Canis lupus familiaris: one gene and its partners. The protein of the gene in region 3 interacts with the protein of the main gene of each other region in a pairwise test. Links are inferred from orthologs where the notes say so. Each region holds a gene or a part of one and is shown on either strand. Other genes may lie near its edges.

Region 1 (4,722 bases), on a different chromosome or scaffold from region 3:
AGTAGGGTGAACAACCGGAGGGGCAGGCTCAAAGACAGCGTCATCATCAAAGGCTACCATCAGTTTCCAGGTAGTTATTCTTTTAGATGTGGGCTCCATTCTCTGCTTTTTAGTAAATTCTCTAAAATCACCTTGCACTTCATTTAGGTTTGCGGTGTCGCCCTCTCACAGAAAACAGACCTGTAGTTTTATTTCTCTGGCTTCTGATAATATCTAGAATGTCTTTTTACGGAGCTAGTTAGGGCCTAAGTATTCATCATGGAGCCCCTGGCCCATGAGGCCAGGCTGGGCTATAGAGCGGGGCTTGGCCTCTTTGCTGATCTGATGCTTTTTCTTCTTCCATGCATCAGGGGCTAGTTTTGTTTCCATTTGCAAAATGATGGACTCTCCACATCTAGCACAGTGCCTGGCCTAATCACGTGGGCAATACATTATTAATGTTTCTTTTCTCATATTCTCCACAATATGGCAGGTCATTCTAAGGTGACACTGTGTCATGGAAGAAACGCCTCCACTGGGCGGTGGTCAGGGTGCCACTGGGGCCCTGGGAGGAGTCAAGGGCCATTGTATGTGACTGGGTCACCGTAGTCTGTGAAAAGGACTTCTTCCCAGGCCTGAGCCATAAGAATCACTTCTGGAATTGGTTTTGTAATAGATCTCTGCTTCTGTCTGTGGAGACAGTTATTCCTCAGTGGCCTTGCAGGAGTAAGAATATGATCAGCATCTTGTGCCCTTGGTTTCTTCCTGAGGCACAGAGGCCATAGTACAAAGGGAAGAAGGCAAGGCTGGAGGCTGGGGCACTCTGGCTTCCCTCCCGGCCCTCCCTCAGTCTTTATCTAAGGTTTCTCTGAGCTGTAGTTGCACTCTATGCCAACGGGTGGCAGTGTGGCCCTGCAGGTGAGGGAGGAAACTGGGCACCTGGAGTGATCAGGCTGCCTCTGCAGAGACGCCCAGTCTTCCCCTAGAAGGGACTGGAGCTGTAGCATGTGTAGGTCTGAAATTGCGTTCAGGCCAGCCCTATCCAGTGAGCTTGAGGTTGCCTAGCCCCTTTCCCCATCAGCCTAAATTGGCTACTCACATAAAGGCCACTGTGCTCTAGGGAAACTGGAGAGAGGAGCATGCCCGAGGCCTCTAGGTCACAACGGTTTTCTTCTAGCAAATGGGCCTCCACCCATTTTCTGTGTCTGTCTTGCCAAATGAGACTGTTGACACCTTGTACTTAGCCATTCTGTTCTTCCTGCACAGGGGACCCTCACAATGATCCCAATGCTCAGGGTGATGCCTTCAAGACTCTCTTTGTGGCTAGAGTGGTGAGTCCCCAGCTCCCCACCCCTGGAGCCCCAGAGGAGCCTAGAACCCGGGGCTGGTGAGAGTTTGGGTTTGGGACAATGGACAGTAGGCTAAGTTCTGGAACGTTCTGAGGGCTTTGGGACAGCTTGTTTCTCCCACTTAACTTTGTATCTGTCTCCTGGTAGAACTATGACACAACAGAATCCAAGCTCCGGAGAGAGTTCGAGGTATACGGACCCATTAAAAGAGTGAGTGGACTGGGGTCTGGGCTGCTTGAATTGGAACAGGGTGCAGGGAGGGAGAAGGCTGGCTCTTGGCCCTGAGGATGCATCCCATCATGTTGGGGCTTCAGAAGCCGTGGCCTGCATTTACAAATTGACTACATTTCTTTTTTTTTTTTTTTTTTAATTTATTTATGATAGTCACACAGAGAGAGAGAGAGAGAGAGAGGCAGAGACACAGGCAGAGGGAGAAGCAGGCTCCATGCACCGGGAGCCCGATGTGGGATTCGATCCCGGGTCTCCAGGATCGCGCCCTGGGCCAAAGGCAGGCGCTAAACCGCTGCGCCACCCAGGGATCCCCAAATTGACTACATTTCTATGCAGCAGACCTTGGGGTAGCAGGAGTAAAATTAGGAAGTAACAGCTGCTTTTTTGTTGATTTAGGGTATGGGTCAGCAGACTACAAACTATTTGTAAATAAAGGTTTATTGGTAACCAGTCAAGCCCATTTGTTCACTATCGTCTGTGACTGCTGTTGGTGTAAGGCAGTCCGGTAATTGGACAGATTGTAAGGCCCTCTGAGCTGAAAATATCTGTTGTCTGGCCCTTTAGAGACAAAGTATAAATGTGTGTGCTGATTCTCATTTTAGAGCAAGGCTTTATGTTTAACTGACATGTCTTGAATTCTTGAAGTCACTGGAGTGCTCTGGGCAGTAGTGATGGCTGGAGATCATTGTGCACAAACACTGCTGAGCCCAGTATGATGAGAGCATTAGTCACTCTGGGCTCTTGAGGACAGGGAGAGGGGTCTGAGACATCTGTCGCTGGCAGGAGCTAGCCCAGGGCCTGGCACGCAGGCTCTGCGATTGAATGGGTGGGATTTCCTTGCCTGAGAACTAATCTTTGCCCGCCTCCCCCCAGATACACATGGTCTACAGTAAGCGGTCAGGAAAGCCCCGCGGCTATGCCTTCATCGAGTATGAACATGAGCGAGACATGCATTGTGAGTACCTCAGGCCTGAGCCCTGCCCTCTGACCCTCTCTCTCTATGCTGCCCAGCCCCTTCCCGTCGTCTGTCCCCACCCCCCACCCTGCCAAACCTGACATTAGCGATGTCTCTTCTCCTCCTCCCTCTGTTTCTGATATATCTTTTTTTTTTTTATATACGTGTTTTTTAAAAAACAAAAACCAAAATCCCCCACAACGTGTGTGTGTGTGTGAACCTGGGGAGGTAAGTGTCACACGTTGAACCTCAGGGGCAAGGAGGGAACTGGGTGGGGGCTGGGGCCAGCTGGAGGTTGGGGGAAGGGGTCGGATGTTCGGGGAGCCTCTCCCCATTCCCCCCACCAGAATTGGGGGCGGCCAGGTTGGAATGAGGACTGGCCTTTGAACCTGCCCTCTCTTCCCCCCCAGCAGAGCTGGGGCTGGGCCACCCGACCCTCTGCCTCCCCACCCCTGGCCCCCCACCCTGTTCCTCAGCGGGCAGTGGGTTGGTAGGCGTGTTCAGCGCCTGCCCCCCCATCTCCAAAGCCCCCTTTGAGGCTGCGGCGGCGTCCACATGGGCAGGGATGGGTGGGTGGGGGCGGGCAGGGCTGCGGCGTGTCCAGGGGCCGCCGTATTAATTGACTGTTCTTATTGTCACTGCAGCCACCACGCAGCTGGCTTGCAGCTGATGCTTACGCTCCCCTTACAACACCTCAGTGTATGGTTGGTATAAGGGTTTGTATCATGGGTAAGATCACTCAGCACCGCACACCAGCCCAGCTTAGCCAGGCAGCTCAGGAGCAGTGAGGCGTCCCTCTTCCCATCCCCAGTCGCCCCCTCAGCCTTCCCGCACCCACAGCCCTTTCCTGGTTTGGGTGCCCCTTGTCCCTTCTGCCACCCCTTCCCCCCAATCCACATATGCTCTCTGATAATCTTGCTGATCCCAGGAAGGAAAGGATGAACCCTGATGGGAAAGGCTGCTGGCCTCTCCAACTGGGCTCCACCCCACCCCTGACTTACCTGGCTTCACGATGTCAGCGGCAAGGTTACAGGAATACTGAAACGGGATGCACGAGGGTGAGGGCTACGTGTGGAACCCTTCAACCCTTTGCTGCCTGCCCCCATTCTTCTGTGGGGCTGTCACTGTAGTGGCCCTGGAGAATCTTTTTGGTTGCTAGACTCGGGTTGCTGTGCCCATTTTCTGTCTGCCTTATCATGGTTGAGGCCTACCAAGAGGGCTGTGGTGCCCAGCGGCTCTGCAGAGTGCATGGAATTGGGGATTGGGGTGAGGGAGGGATTGAGTGACAGGCTGCAAGTAGCTGATGGTGTTGTAGATTTTACTTAGGACCCTTCCACTGTCTAGAGACCTAAGAGAGGGAGAGAAAGAGAAGCCTAGAAGTACACATGTCACATGATTTCTTTGTTGGTACTCCTGGGTTGGGCCTCTTCTGGGGTTTGGGACATTGAACCAGAGCAGGGTTCCTTTGCTTGACTGTGCTCCCGGTCCTTAAATCCCTTTCCCGTAATACCCTCCTCTGGGTTTGGGGGGGCCAAGTGGCCCCTCCTCCAGATCACGGGCAGCACTCCATCTCCTGGACCCCCCACCCCCAGGCTGTCCCTTATGTGCCAGCCTTTGAGTGGCAGGTGGTGGGAGGGAGTGTGGAATCCAAAGTGGAGAAGTCCTTCCATGTGCTGCGAGGAGGGTGGGGCGTGTGCCTAGTTCAGTGTGGACTTTACTGGGAAAGGTGAGGGCCAACAGTTTTGCTAAGGCCTCCCCAGCCTTCTTTTTAAATACAACAAGCTAGTTCCAGGGCATTACCAGCTCCTAGACTTGATGTTAATCCTTGTCTCCCCCTCTTTCAAGGCCTCCATGAGGTTTCTTTGGGGTCCACCACTGCCTCTGCCTGTCTCTAGGTGGTGCAGGAGATGTGGTTCCTCTCCCTCTCTGTGGCTCCCTAGAACCCCCCCATTTCCCTTCCCTGTAGCTTTAGCTGACCCTATGGTGGTGGGTGTGGGGTCTGTGCGCGTGCTCAGGTAAGCTTGGGGGCTCCAGGTAAGCGGTCCCGTGTCCCCCCCCGGGAAGCCCGCCTCCTCGCCAGGCCCCCAGGAGTTGCCGAGCCCCCCCCATCCCGCTCGGTTTGGACACCCGCAAGGCCGGCATCGGTAAATGGCACCTTTTTCTCTTCCTCTGGTTGTTATTTGGGGGGGAGAGGGCTGGGGCGGGGCA
Region 2 (4,722 bases), on a different chromosome or scaffold from region 3:
ATATAATGTGTAATAAATGGCCTTCCTTTAAGGAATCATAGGGAATTTTGGCGGGAATTTAAAAGAATATATTGAATGGCCCGAACTAATAGCAGAGATACTAAATGCCACCAAAAGTCAGAAGGCATTGAGATCATTCTCTTTCAACTGGGCCAGGCTTTCTAGGTCAGGAAATGGCATGAGATCAACTGACATTTTTCTTTTGTATTAGCTATTTGCATGCTGCTTATTTAATTTGTGGACTCCATTTTTTTTTTTTTTTCTTAAGGGCAACAATAGTTTCACTGGAAGACTTTGAACAAAGGTTAAATCAGGCCATTGAACGCAATGCATTTTTAGAAAGTGAACTTGATGAAAAGGAATCTTTGTTGGTCTCCGTACAACGGTTAAAGGATGAAGCAAGAGGTAAAAACTGACAACTTAAAGTTTATCCTTTACCTTAATGTCTCTAAGTCCGAGTTCTAAGTTAGGTTTGGGATCTGCTCTGAAAGTTGTGCACATTTGTATACTTTTGTCAGGCACTACACTAAGTGTTTTTAGTCTCTTAACACCTATGAGCCAACTCTGAGAGGTAGGTAGTATCCCCATTTTATGGGTCAGAAAACCAAGGCATGGAGAGTTTGAGTTTTGTCCAAAGCCTTAAGAGCTTTTCAGTGGGAATTCAGACAATGGTCTTTTTTCCAAAACCTTAATTCTGTTCCCACTGTTCATGTCCTGCTTGGTTTGTTTTGGTGTTTTATATTTTGCTTCTGTGTAAATAATTTTGTGTTATGCACATAGTAACACTGCATATGTGCACATATTATAAAGAAGAGGCTATTTTCGTCTTTATGATATTCTGCATTCTACCATGTATTAAAAAGAGAGGGAGGGAAAGAGACTTTTAAAGGAAAGTATATAATCACCACATGCATAATATGTGTACAGCACTCTGACTTCCCTCCCCCTTTCCTCCCAGCCCCTGGAAACACCATTCTCCTTTCTGTGTCTATGAATCTGATGACTCTAGGGACCTCATATACTGGAGTCATACAGTGTTTGTCCTTTTGTCACTGGGGTTTTGTCCTTTTTCACTTAGTGTAATGTCCTTGAGGTTCATCCATGTGGTAGCACGTATCAGAATGTCCTTCCTATTTAAGGCTGAATAAGATCATATTAAATGCTTGTATTGCATTTTCTTTATCCATTATCCATGGGCAGACATTTGGATATAATACTCAGAAATGGGATAACTTTGTGTCCTTTTTAAATGTGTGTTCTGTAGGTCAGTTGCATAACTGGAAAAGAAAGTGTTAATTTTGGCTTAAAAATTCAGTATTTGAAAGCAAGAAAAAAATTGCAACTATTTTGAATACTTCTTTTCTAAAACAGAGTAGTGCATTTTGACAACTAATAAAAAAATACTAACCCATATAAAATTACAAAAATGTACTTCATTGATTTTGCAGTAATTGCCAAAGTACATCATTTCAAAATAAAAGCAAATGAGTTGAAAAGAATATTTATTTTTGTGTCGTATAGGCTCATTGCGAGTTGTTCTTTGGACTCTGCCCTATTTTTATATAATGAGCATAGTTAACTGTTCTCTTAGGTTATAGCATTTGTATCAATTCTAGCATTTAAAAATTATTCTCAAAGATCATTTAAACAGTAGGGTTGTCATTTTTATACCCTGAGGAAAAAAAAGTGTTATGTAGGAAACTCTTCTTTTGAGATATAGTAATTGTGGAAGTTATGGCATTTTAGAGGTGACTTTGCTTGGGTGATTTGCTTCCTCTGGTGAGTTCTATTACCTGTGCCCCATTTTGCAGATTTAAGACAAGAACTGGCAGTTCGGGAAAGACAACAGGAAGTAACCAGAAAGTCGGCCCCCAGTTCTCCGACTCTTGATTGTGAAAAGATGGACTCTGCTGTCCAGGCATCACTTTCTTTGCCAGCCACTCCTGTTGGCAAGGGCACAGAGAACAGTTTTCCTTCACCAAAAGGTTTGCAGTGTCTTTTCTTTCTGAACCTGTGGTAGATTATCCAACTGAGGAGGGTTTGCTGGGGAAGCAGGGCAAGGCACGTGTAAGTGATGGTTTCAGTGGAGAAGTTGGGGAAGTCACGCGCTCTGTGAGGCAGAAGAAGTTTCCACGGTTGCTCCCACACGGGGAGCGGGGTGACGGTGGCCACATGTAAAACAGGAGCAGCTCAATCAATTGAGATTTTAAAAAGAAAGGTTTTCAGGCAAAGTCGACCTTTTGATGATGGCAGTAATATACGCTTATGCCAAAAAATCGAGAAAGAAAAGAGAGGGGCCCATTCTTCAGTCCTACCCCTGAAAGCCAACTACTCTTGACACCAAATTTCCCTGCCATATGTGCTTGTTTGTTTTTGCACACGCCTACTTGTTTCACGTTTGGGGATCATTTTTATATATGGTTTATTTCTCTTGCCACTGAACCGATTGTAAAGGACTAGAAGCCTTCCTACACAGACTGTATAGAGACTCGTTGAGCTGCCATTCAGTCTCATGTAAGACTGGCTCAGGTGGACACGGCTGTTCTTTTACATGCTTACATGCATACATGTTCTTTTACATGGCTGCCGTTTTCAGAGGTGACGTTTGGAGTAACCAATGACTAATACATGGAGAATGTTCCTTTTTCCATCAGCAGAGGTTTTTTTTTTTTTTTTTTTTTTAATCCAGATAAGCAGAGAAAACACTTAGCAGCCACTATACACAGAACCTTACAATGGAACCCCAAAGCTCTTAATTCAGATTTATTTTGTTTTTGAGCTTATTGCTATTTCAGCATTTCCTATTCCTCCATACTTTTTTTCTTCCCAAAATAAGTTCTTTCTTCCCCTCTTTTTTAAGTAAAGGATTTTATCTTCCAGCGTGATAGAAGGATTTTTCTCTGGGCAGTTAGTGAAGTAAGTGCTCTGTGTCTGTGCCGACCATTCCAGTAGCCACTAGCCACATGTGACTGTTCACATTTCTATTAATGTTAGTTAAAATTTAAAATTCAGTTTCTCAGTTGTATTAGCTGCATTTCAGGTGCCCAGAAGCCCTTGAATGGATAACTACTCATCCCACTTTCATCTAGCTATTAGCGTGAAAATACTGTAGAGTCAGAGGTGGTGTTATTTGTACTCATGCTGAGTGTGCTGCTGAGGATGAGAGCAGGCAGGGTAGAGATGACAGCAGCCATCAGAAACTCACTGTCCACTTTTCAGAAGGGCTACTTGGGCATTTGAGGATCTCAGAATTGCTAACATTTGAGAATTAACAAAGATTTGCTTTTAGGTACTAACTAGAATTCTGCAGGTCAGTTCTGAAAATTTGTTAGTTGAGTACTAATCTTCTGAATAGTCTGGAACTTCAGTCAAGGTTAATACCCAGGGAGGTGCCCATCCTCTAATAGCTGATTAGAGTTTTAACTCAGGGACTTGGCTGCGGTGAGCCGGGCGAGGTCAGTGGGACACAGAGCTTGCTTGCTCTGGCAGAGGGTTAAGACATGTCAACTCCAAGGCAGGAAATTTGTCCAAGTAGACAGATTTTTAGACTGGAACTGATGGCATGAACTTTCACTAACCTAAAAGCTGCTGTGCGCTGGATCACAGCAGTTGAATGACAAATCAGTCAGGACAGACCTAATGAGAAGCAGGAGGTTAGAGGAATCAGTGCAAATTGGAAAGGCTGAGCCCGATGAAGTGGTCTGTCTTTAATTGCATTTCATCGATAACAATGACTGTTTCCAAAAAGCATTTAAGACAACTTACCATAAAAGCACAGGTTTCATAATTTGTGGAGAACAGGGAGAACTGAGATCTGGAAATCCTTGCTGGGAAAAGTACAGCAGTTTATTTATATCCTGTCAAGTGCCTGTTCTGTGCCACGCACTTTTCTAGGTGGTGGGGGTCGACTGGTGAATAATAAGGTGAAGTCCCTATCTTCAGTGAGACTATCTCCTGGAGGCTGAGGACAGAACAGCAGCAGCAACAAAGCATTTACATACTGAAGAGCACTCTGTAGAAAATGGATGAAAGAATAACAGCTAACATTTATTGAGTATTAACTATGTGCTAGGTATTTAAAAAGCATAGTAACTGAAACTTCATGATGACTTTATAAGTGCTGTCATTAGCCCTCTTCTACATATGGGCAACTTACTAAAGCTCACACAGTTACTGAATGGCAGAGATGGACTTGTCTCTTGCAGTGTAGCCCAAGAGCTATTAACCATCGTGTATATGACTTCAAAAATAAATTGAAGAAATGTGCATGACTGAAAACCTTTGCCGAGAGGCGTGCAAGAAGATGGGAATGTCACCCTGAATGGCTCCGATTCTGAATGGGAAGCCTCTTACAGTAGCCATTGTATCCAAATCAGTCAGCTGTTTAAATTCCTAATGACATCAACACAGGGTTTAAGTTGGCAGGTTGATTTTAAAGTTACTCTGAAGAATAACTGTGCCAAGAAAGTTCAAAATAAGGTGAAGACAAGAGGCTTTCCCCTTCAAGGTACCACAGTATGTTTTAACTTTGTAATAATGAAAGCAGCATGTTTCTGGTGAAATAGATTAATAATTCAGTGGAACTAAAATATATAGGGAATTCAGTATATGTAAAGTGCCATTTCAGATGAGTCTTCACAACATGGTATTAGGATGATTGGCTATCCATTTGGATGAAAAAAAATTTTAGATATTTGATGAATTAAGTAATCTAAATGTAAA
Region 3 (5,251 bases):
CTTTAAAAATAACAAATAAAATAAAATGTAAATATCAGTATGAATTCTGTATATTTGTTTAAAACTATATATATTTCCTAACTGGCCACTGTGAATGCTAGAACCATTGACCAACCTAACAATAAGAGCACCTGTAGCACCCAGACTGTGGTCTCTAAATACTGGTTCCTACTCTAAAGAGCCAGGGCATTTTGGTGGGCATTAATGTATAAATGAGGGAGGAACATGTTTTACCAGAAAATAGGTAAACTGATTATCAAAGACTACTAATCATAACAAGGTGGACAGGAACCAACTTAAAGGGGAAGCCACTGACCAAAGGCAGGACAATTTGAGTATTAAAAAAAAAAAAAAAAAAAAAAGACTGCAATAAGTTGAAACAGTTTAAATATATTCAACTCCATGATGATTAAAAAAAAAAAAAAAGGGCAAAAACCCTCATGGTTACCTTTGGAGGTTGCTAAGCCACCAACTCATTACTGTAGTCTGAAAATAGAGGGAAAGAATTAAGCATTTTCCTTGCCTTTCCTCTACAAAATATATTTCAAATAGCTGATGACAGTCAAATAGCTGCTGGGGTAGAGTTCTTCTCATAAAAGATTTCCAGCTAATAAATATTGAAGGAATGGCAGGAGTGGGAAAATCACCATTCTGCAATCCCTAATGCAATAATGAATATAGGCGATATAAATCTGTAAAAAAGAGTTCACCATTAAGTGAAAAGCTCATGGGGAATTTCACAATGGATGGATTGGGCTAACAATATTTGAACCCATTACATTGCTCAATCTTAAGAGAGAGACAACTCAGACATTTCATACCTCTCTGATAATGCAATAGATTGTCTACTGTACCACCTGGAAAATCGTCTTGACCCCCCCCCCACACACACACACACACAAAATTAAAGTTAAATCTGATCTTCTAGATCAGTGCTATTCAACAGAACTTTCTGCAATTATTGAAAAATTTTACTTCTGCACCATTCAAAGGGTAGCCACCAGGCACTTGTGACCACTGGGCACTTGAAATGTGGCTAATGAAGCCAGGGAACTGAATTTTTAGTTTTATATCATGGTAATATTTAATAGCTACAGCTGGCTGGTGGCTACTATAGTGGACAGTGCAATTCTAGATCTAACTACTGGTTTAAAGGGAAAAGATGTACATGTTAAAAGGATGTCATGCAGATGCAATCAGCTAAATCTAGAATATTAAGGGGGACAAGGGACACAAGGGAACCGCTCTATTTAAAAAGATTTAATCGATGTATCAACCAATGCAACATGTGAATCTCTATGGGATTTTGCTTCAAAAGAGCTAATTGTAAAAAGTCACTTAAGGGACACTTGGGGAAATCTAAACCCAGACTGAATATCGACATCATGGAATTTTTATAAATTTTTGTAAGTGTGATGACAGGACTATGGTTTTGTAAAGCTGAAAAAGCAAATTTAGCTGCGGGTACCCTAACATAAAAATTTAGCTGCGGGTACCCTAACATAAAAATAAATTAAATCCTTGCAATCCCTGTTCATGTTGGCTTCAGATGAATTTCAAATCAAGTTGACTTTTTTTTTTAAGTAGGGAACTCTGATAGAGTGGTTTACTGATCTTGTCACAGCTGGCCACCACTGCAACGTTAAATGAGAAAAGGAAGGACAAAGCAAAGATCTTCTACCTTCTAATGCGAGGAATATGGCACAGTACACTTAACATACACATTTATTACAAATAATTTTTAAAACCTGAACCTACATGCACTGAAGGGCAGTGTGAATGTCTAAATGTTTAGGAGTCTGTAACCCAAGAGAATTTCACTTCTACTATACTGATCACTGAGAACGGTGTAGCCAGAGGGGCAAGAAGCTGATGACAAACTAAAGGCGGTACTGTATTTCAAGTAAGAAAATACAGAAGCTTATTATATGATTACGCTACAGCTATAATACGTGTAAATGTGAATATGTAGATGTTACATGTAGTTGATGGTCCTTACTAGGGCTTCCTCTTCGCCTCTATAAAATAAAATAAAACGGAATGCAAGCAGTTAGGGAACTTCTGTATTACCGTAGTGTACCTACACTATAATACTTCTTTATTAAGTGTGAAATTATTTAAGGAATCGGATGAAAGGCTCAAGGAAAACTACTCTCTGCAAATAAGGCTACTCTAACTACAAATCAAGACTAGTCAATGACCTTGGACTCGTTTTTACTCTGAGGCTGGTAAGGAACGTTAAGGAAGACAGTATGCGCCCTAGGCTTAGGGCCCTCAAGTATCTTCACGATTAAAGTGCTCCTAAGGGGGGATCCCTGGGTGGCTCAGCAGTTCAGCGCCTGCCTGTGGCCCAGGGCCTGATCCTGGACACCCGGGATCGAGCCCCACGTCGGGCTCCCTGCATGGAGCCTGCTTCTCCCTCTGCCTGTGTCTCTGCCTTTCTATGTCTATCATGAATGAATAAATAAGTAGAATCTTAAAAAAAAAAAAATTTTTTTTTTTAAAGTGCCCCTAAGGGGCAGCCTGGGTGGCTCATCGGTTCAGCGCCTGCCTTTGACCCAGGGCGTGATCCTGGGGACCCGGGATCGAGGCCCACCTCGGGCTCCCTGCATGGAGCCTGCTTCTCCCGCTGCTTGTGTCCCTGCCTGTCTCTCGTGAATAAATAAATAAAATCTTTTAAATAAATAAATAAATAAATAAAGTGCTCCTAAGGAACTGTCCCTTTTAAGCCCTGGATCATTTCTTTCGCGCCCCTGATGTCAGACGATCGGTGAACTCAGGGTTTCCCAACTTCTTCAGTCCTTCACGATTCCTGCATTTCCGTACCTCTTGGACGAACATTATTAACTCACTTTTTAAAAACTGCTAAAAAAAATTTTTTTTTTAAATAAAAATAAAAACTGCTCGTGCCCCCCGCCCCGCCCCCAGGCGAATCGGCCCCAGTGCCGCCAAGGCTAAGCCGCAACAACGCTGGGAAGCTAACCAGATCTGGCAGCCTAGGCGGGAGGGCTGTGCCGGGGGTCCCTCCTCTGCAAAGGAAGAGCGGCCCGCAGCCGGCTCCGCCGCGGAAGACGAGGCCTGGGCGGCAGCTCGCCCCCCCCGCCGCCCTCCCGCCGGCCCGGCCTCGGGGGAGGGGCTGACCACCTGGCTGGCCCGGACGGCGCGCCGCCAAAGGCCACGTCCGCCTTCGCGGCTCCGCAGGGCACACGCGGCGAGGCCGACGGGCGGGGCGCCGCAGCGGAGCCGGGCCGGCGAGGGCGGGCCCGGGGGCCAGCGGGCGGCGGCGGACGCCAGCCCCGGGCCGTACGGCCGGGCAGCCCGCGGCGCCGCCGCAGCCAGGGCTGCCTCCGGACCGGGACACGCCCGCCCCTCGCCCGTCCACCGGGCGCACATGCGGTTACTGGGCCGCTGCGCACGCGCGCGCGCCCCCGAGCCTTCCCGCCGTTACCTCCGGCCGGGGGCGCGCACGCGCGTCACCGCCGACCCCGACGTCCGGCCTCCGCCGTCCGCACGTTCGTTCCGCCCACTGCCCCCTCGCTTCTTCCTCGGAGCAGCGTCCTCCCAGGACGCCCCTCCGCGCATGCAAATGGGCTCACCCACATCACATCCGGGGATCGGAGCGCAGGACCGCGCGGGTCACGTGATCCTCAGAGGCGCGGGGTGGGGGGTGGAAGTTCCGGTGGAAGCGGGTGCGGCGCTGAGTCCGGTGCGGGTAAGGCTTTCCCGCGCCCCTAGTCCCGGTTTTGGAGGGACGAGGACGCGTTGGTTCCTCAGCGGCGCCTCTCCCCGCTCCCGTCAGTGGAGGCCGATGTCTTCACTTCATCTTCACAACCACTGTCCCCACCGCTCGCCCTGGAGGGTGGAAAGGCACTCGCGTGGCGGCTCCGGGCCTCCCCCGCTTCCACACTTGGTATCTCCAGCCGGAAGTGGGGACCGGGGCGGCCCCCTGCTTGCGGACGGCTGGTGGTGGCCCGCGAGGGTCATTTCTAGCGCGGGGGAAGGCGGGCCCGCTTAGTTCGCGTTAACCGCCGGCTTGCGGATCTGCAAAGCACAGAAACCGGATGACACCACGGGTCTGGGAAAGTGTGACGAGCTCCGCGTTGGGACCACTCGCTGTGTCCAGGGAACTGAGGGACCCCAGGAGGGACGAGGACCGCGCCCCGCCTGGGTCTAGGAACCGCCCTCCTGCGGGAGATGACCCGGGAGCCAAGTCTTGTAGACTGATGGGGGGCGGGGGGTGGCTGGAAACATTGTACGGAGCACCTGCTCCGGAGGCCCCGGGCTGTCACGTGCGTAAGAGAAGGTTCGTTAGGGAAGGTAGTAGTGTCTCATTCTGTCGAGTGTGGCACGTGCTCGGGACAGTGGCCGTGTCCCGGACGTTGCCGGTCTTTTTTTTTTTTTTTTTTTAATTTATTTATTGGAGTTCAATTTGCCAACATATAGCATAACACCCAGTGCTCACCCTGCCAAGTGCCCCCCTCAGTGCCCGTCACCCAGTCACCCCCCACCCCCCTGCCCTCCTCCCCTTCCACCACCCCTAGTTCGTTTCCCAGAGTTAGGAGTCTCTCATGTTCTGTCTCCCTTTCTGGTGTTTCCCACTCATTTTTTCTCCTTTCCCCTTTATTCCCTTTCACTAATTTTTATATTCCCCAAATGAATGAGACCATACAATAAATGATTGTCCTTCTCCGATTGACTTATTCACTCAGCATAATACCCTCCAGTTCCATCCACGTCGAAGCAAATGGTGGGTATTTGTCGTCTCTAATGGCTGAGGAATATTCCATTGTATACATAAACCACAGCTTCTTGATCCATTCATCTTTCGTGGACACCGAGGCTCCTTCCACAGGCTGGCTATTGTGGACATTGCTGCTAGAAACATCGGGGTGCAGGTGTCCCGGCGTTTCACTGCATCTGAATCTTTGGGGTCTTGATCGTTTCCATTCTTCAGCCCCTGAAGATTCAGTGAAGGCACCTTAGTGCCTGACTCTGGAAATGAGTTGTTGACCCGGTGAGCTGACACCAGTGTTGAGTTTGGAAGGAAGAGTAGGCGTTGGTGATTGGGGGAGGGTGGTGGTGGGGTGGGGAGGCTTTTAAGTGCAAAGCCAGGGAAGTATAACAGGGTTAGTGGTATTTGGAAGAGGGACAGTGAAGAAAGCTGGAGGCCAAATTTGGAAAGGATGTACTGGATCCTTGCTGCAGGATCGACACACAGTAGTTGTAGACACTGATAGAATCTGTTAGAGAG
Region 4 (4,722 bases), on a different chromosome or scaffold from region 3:
CCTCTAGGCGCCACGACTTGGCAGGGACTCGGGGAAGGCCCCCCACTCTGGCCGGCACCGTCACTTCAGCACAGGCATCTCCGAGCGCCTCTTTTCCCTGCTCAAGAGTCTGTGCTCCCTCGCAGGCCAACTGAAGGTGTCCCACAAATGGTGGCTGGCAACAGGAGAATGCAAGTGTGAAGACACCCTCTCCCACCCGGGGGTTCCCCGGTGCGCCCAGACCCGGCGGGCCCCACCTGGCGCTCTCCGGCCTGTGCTCCGCCTCCGTGGGCACCGGGGGCCGGCCCATGTCCAGGTGCTGCTCCAGCACCTGCTGCCGGAATTCTGACACCTGAGACTGCCGGTCCTCCTTCTCCTGCCGCAGGCGCCGCTGCCGCGCCAGCCACTTCTCCTCCTCGTTGGTGCGCTGGATGAGCAGGGCCGTGGCGGCGCTGCTGCCCGGCAGCGAGAAGATGCTGTGGTTGGAGAGGAGGCTGGGCACGGTGTGGTGGGGGGCGGGCGCGGGATGCAAGGGGTGCTGCACGGGCTTCGGTGCTTGCAGGCCCGCCTCCTTCAGCTTCTCTGTGGGGAGAGAAAGGCCGCCACGGCGGGATCTCAGAGCTGCGGGCCGGTCCACACGTCCCCGCTGTCTCCCACTGCCACCTGCCCCTCTCGCCAGGGCAGACGACCTCCGGGGATGCTCGCTGGCGGTGGGCACTGCTCCCAGTCGGACCCACCGGAGTGCCGCAGCGGGCTCGCACTGGCTCACAACGGCAGGCTGACTTCTCTACCACCACGCACACCGGTTAGCGAGCCGTTCCCAGGGCTGATTAAGTATATTCCCAATGAAGCAGCCGACGTTCAAGACAAAGGTAAAGAACACTCAAAACCCACCCCTCGCTTCCTAACGCTTTCACTGCAGTTTACTACTGCGTGCAGCACCCCGAGGAGAGCTCCATCTCTCGTACTCCTATTGGGGGCCACCGGGCACGTCTCCCCAGCTCCCAGCCCTGACCTCACATTTGTAGCCTGAAATGGGCCCTGTAGCGCGCGCCTGCCCACAGGTCGCCGGCCACGCGGTACCTGCTCGGGTCGGGGTCAGCTGCTCCGAGGGCTTGCCCCGCTCCTCGGGGGCGTGGGCCCGCAGCCCGTGCAGCTCAGCCACCGGCAGGAAGGCCGGCTCCAGCGCCTTGGCCGCCAGCAGCTCCTTCTCACGGGCCCGCTGCTCCCGCTGGCGCTCCAGCTCCCGCTCCCGTTCCTTCTCCCGCTCGCGTTCCAGCTCCTTCTCCCGCTCGCGCTCCTTCTCCCGCTCTCGCTCACGCTCCTTCTCCCGCTCGCGGTCAGCTTCCCGCTCGCGCTCCCGCCTCAGCTCCTCATCCAGCTGCAGCCTGTGGGCGAGTGGAAAGAGGTGGTGACAACCGCTGTGCTGGTGCAGGGGGGACCAGGAAACCCCCCCAAGGGGAGACTGGCACCGTGACCTGCACCCCGACAGCAGGTTCGCAGGGCTCTCTGCTTTTATGAACTCCCCAAGAGACTCCAAGTTCCCCGGACCAAAAGCCACCCGCCCAACTCCCCAAGCCTCAGCAGCTCACACCAGGAGGCCGGTGTCTGACAACAGCGCTGCCAGGTACCAGCAAGGAGCTCCAACTGCAGCACCTGTCACTGCCCACCTCGCAGGTGCGCAGACCAAGGACACGTGTACTAGCCCAAGCACGCATGAGCCAGGCTCTGACGTGGGCTGTGCTGCACTCTGTCAGGGCGGGAGGAGCAGGGACACCCCAGCCCAGGACGCAGCTTACCTCTCGGCACTGAGGCTGGACATCCGCTCTGAGTGCAGCGCTGCCAGGGACGAGTGGGAGAGCTCAGGGGGATAGCGGACCCCGGAGAGGTGGAGATGCATAGCCGACGGGTGCAGGGGAGGCAGGGAGCCGGGCGTGGGAATGGGGTAGAAAGGGGACCGTAGGGCTGACAAGCAGTAGGAGTCATCCATCCTGTGCAGAGAAGGTAGGGGCCAGGTGAGAAGCAAAGCCAGAGAAGGCAAAGCCCGGGCCCATCTCAACAGACCCCCCAGCCAGGTAGGAGTGTTGACGTGAGTGCGGCAGACAGGACAGAGGCCGGGAGTCTCCCCAAAGGCCCTGAGAGACTGCCTGCCACGCTGCAGCCCAGCCAGGACCCTCCCAGGCCCGAGCAGCAGGCCCCCTGGGAGCAGCCCGCTCTACCGACGGGCGGGCTAGGAATTGGGAGGCTCCTCCACCCAGCAGAGATGAGGGACACACCTTCCCCGGGCCGTCTCAGTTACGCAGCAAAGGGGTGGCTCCACTAGGTGAAGACGCGCCGTGCCAGCAGCAGGCCCACAAGGAAATGGGGGAGCGTCTGGCAGAGGGACAGCATGGATGAAGGGGGCACTCCCGGGGGCAAACCCCTGCTGGCAACTTGGAAGGCTGGTGGCTGCACTGAGACATGGAGCCTGGTACAGGGCATGAGGGCATGGGGGCAACAGCCCCGGGGACTCACTGGGGGGCAGAGAGCTCACCTGAAGGCCGGGTGGGGGAACGGGTGTGGGGCCAGGTAGCTGGGGTGGTAGTAGGCAGCGGCCGCAGCGGCTGGGTCCAGGCCAAGGGGAGGCAGGGAGGACATGCGGAGGTCCTCGGTGGTGTGGTAAGGCCGGAAGCTCCTCAGGTAGTCCTCGGTGACCGTGCTGGGGGGCACCACGTGGTGCACGGGCCGCTGGAGGCTGCAGGTGAGGACACGTGGATGAGTGAAAGATGTGGTGAGCAGGGCTCCTGCGCCAGGCTGGGCAACAGGCCAGTCTCCCCACACACCCCTGTTCCCGCCGCCGCCAGAACAAGGGGTCTCCAGAGACAGGTCCTGGCCTCTGCAAACAAGACGTGGGCAGTGGCTGCTCCTCGGGCCTGCCATCCATGGCCTGGAGGAACCCCTGGCTCCAAGGGCTCAGAACAGGGGCTCGGGTGGGGTCGGAGAGCCAGCCGCCATCTCACCGTGGAAACGGACAGCAGGCACAGACGGGGCTGCAGGCCCGGGGCTCAGCCACCATCTGGCAGCTCTCAGGCTCAGCTGGTACAGACCCACCGCCGGGCACTGCCGCTAGAGCCTCCGGGATCCAGACCCCAAGCACATGTGCACCCCCCCCAACCCCCCGGCCTCCAATCTGCAGACTTACTTGAGTGGTGGGAAGCGTGAGTCCTGCACCACAGAGCTGGGGGAGATGCCGAAAGGGTAGGGGGTGCTGAGCAGGTGGGAGGGGATGGCTGGGCCCCCTGCCTTCTCCTGGGGCAGCGGGGGCTCCACGATGAGGCGCTCCCGACCACTGCTGCTGCCCCGAGAGCCGGCGTCCTGCTGGAGGACAGAGAGCACTGGGTCAGGACAGGGCCGCGGGGCAGGAGCCGGCTCAGACTGCTGACAACGCAAGGCCGGGGCTCCCCAGGCTCAGAGAGGCTCCCGTTCTGGAGGACTTTCCTTAAGGGTTTCTACCCAGACCTGGGGTGCGCACAGGAGGGAGCAAGCATGGTGAGGTGGTGAGACGGGAGGGCACAGGTTCTCATGCCGGGCAGGACGGGAACCCATCTGATTGCCGGGGCCATGGAAACAAGCGCCCACAAGGGGACACAGCACAGTCCCCACCTCGAGCCAACACCCATGTCTTCCCAGTGTGCGTTTCTCACAGCGCCATGCCAGCTCTGAACCCAAACCCAGGGACGACGTGGTTCCAGCAACCCCAGAAAGTGAGCTCTACTCTGCAGCAGGGAGCAGCAGAACCAGCCAGAGCCCCGCGCGCTGATCACCAAGCATGCACAGACGACCCCCAGGGGCTGAAGCGTCAGCTGTGCTGACAGCTGCCAGCACGCGTCACAGATACCTCGGCCCCCTGGCGCCCACAGAGAGTCACAGCCGAGAAGCTGGCACTGCCCCCAGGCTGAACACGCCAGCCTAACCCCCCTGCCAGCCCCTGGGGTAGCCCTGGCACCAGCCACAGTAGGCAGCTGTGGCACCCAACTGGTCAGACCTGTCTGGGGACACCTCTGTACACACTGGGGGTGGGCCGTGGCCCTGCTGACCCCAGACTCCTGGACATACAGAGGGACCTGGTGGGGAGGCAGACCCTGGGAAACCAGAGAAGGGGGATGCTCAAGACAGGAAGAGGGGGGAGCAACAGGAGCCCCTACCACGGCCAGGGCAGGAGTGTCTGTCTAGCCCCGAGAGCACACACCACCCACAGTTGTGAGCGCTCCTGTCATTTACATGGCTAAAGGGAGCCACGTAAATTGGGGGGGGGGGGGGGGACGCTCCATCATTGGGACAGCCCTTCTCAGCCCAAGGGAGGTCACCACTAGCCCAGGTCCGACCTTGGCCACACGGGTTCCAAGGTGGTGGCTGCAGCCTCCCCTGACCCCGAGAGCTCCTGGGCCAGGTCCCTCCTTCACCTGGCTGGACCACCAGGCCCACCCCCAGCAGGCAGCAAACGGGGATCGGGAGACAGCAGGTGGCAGTCATGGGGGTCACAGCCCAGCATGTCCACCCAAATCCACGGTAGTTCCCCTGTGCCACCAAACAAGCAGCACACCTTGAAAACAAGCGGGCGGGGGGTGGGGGGCCCTAGGTGGCTCACTGGTTGAGTGTCTGCCTTTGGCTTGGGGTGTGATCCCAGGATCCTGGGATTGAGTCCTGTATCGGGCTCCCTGCCTGGAGCCTGCTTCTCCCTCTGCCTGTGTCTCTGCTTCTCTC

The links. The genes of interacting proteins can lie anywhere in the genome.
Region 1: the proteins of CEP63 (region 3) and SNRNP70 interact in binary tests that used the Homo sapiens proteins (3 or more experiments, as listed by UniProt). The link is inferred for Canis lupus familiaris from reciprocal best matches to the Homo sapiens genes CEP63 and SNRNP70.
Region 2: the proteins of CEP63 (region 3) and NDEL1 interact in a two-hybrid assay, tested with the Homo sapiens proteins (2 studies listed by BioGRID and IntAct). The link is inferred for Canis lupus familiaris from reciprocal best matches to the Homo sapiens genes CEP63 and NDEL1.
Region 4: the proteins of CEP63 (region 3) and GSE1 interact in a two-hybrid assay, tested with the Homo sapiens proteins (2 studies listed by BioGRID and IntAct). The link is inferred for Canis lupus familiaris from reciprocal best matches to the Homo sapiens genes CEP63 and GSE1.

The regions. Positions count from the first base shown.
Region 1 is NC_049222.1:108,020,013-108,024,734, reverse strand, and holds part of SNRNP70 (U1 small nuclear ribonucleoprotein 70 kDa), read left to right. Parts: intron 1-1,245; coding exon 1,246-1,310; intron 1,311-1,475; coding exon 1,476-1,538; intron 1,539-2,432; coding exon 2,433-2,514; intron 2,515-4,722. UniProt on the Homo sapiens protein: Component of the spliceosomal U1 snRNP, which is essential for recognition of the pre-mRNA 5' splice-site and the subsequent assembly of the spliceosome. SNRNP70 binds to the loop I region of U1-snRNA.
Region 2 is NC_049226.1:33,423,628-33,428,349, forward strand, and holds part of NDEL1 (nuclear distribution protein nudE-like 1), read left to right. Parts: intron 1-268; coding exon 269-405; intron 406-1,811; coding exon 1,812-1,985; intron 1,986-3,454; exon of another isoform or gene 3,455-4,012; intron 4,013-4,722. UniProt on the Homo sapiens protein: Required for organization of the cellular microtubule array and microtubule anchoring at the centrosome. May regulate microtubule organization at least in part by targeting the microtubule severing protein KATNA1 to the centrosome.
Region 3 is NC_049244.1:31,766,657-31,771,907, reverse strand, and holds the start of CEP63 (centrosomal protein of 63 kDa), read right to left. Parts: upstream 3,591-5,251; 5' UTR 3,583-3,590; coding exon 3,449-3,582; intron 3,220-3,448; exon of another isoform or gene 3,145-3,219; intron 3,111-3,144; exon of another isoform or gene 2,984-3,110; intron 1-2,983. UniProt on the Homo sapiens protein: Required for normal spindle assembly.
Region 4 is NC_049226.1:67,514,232-67,518,953, forward strand, and holds part of GSE1 (genetic suppressor element 1), read right to left. Parts: intron 3,337-4,722; coding exon 3,161-3,336; intron 2,714-3,160; coding exon 2,513-2,713; intron 1,971-2,512; coding exon 1,779-1,970; intron 1,368-1,778; coding exon 1,063-1,367; intron 562-1,062; coding exon 237-561; intron 1-236.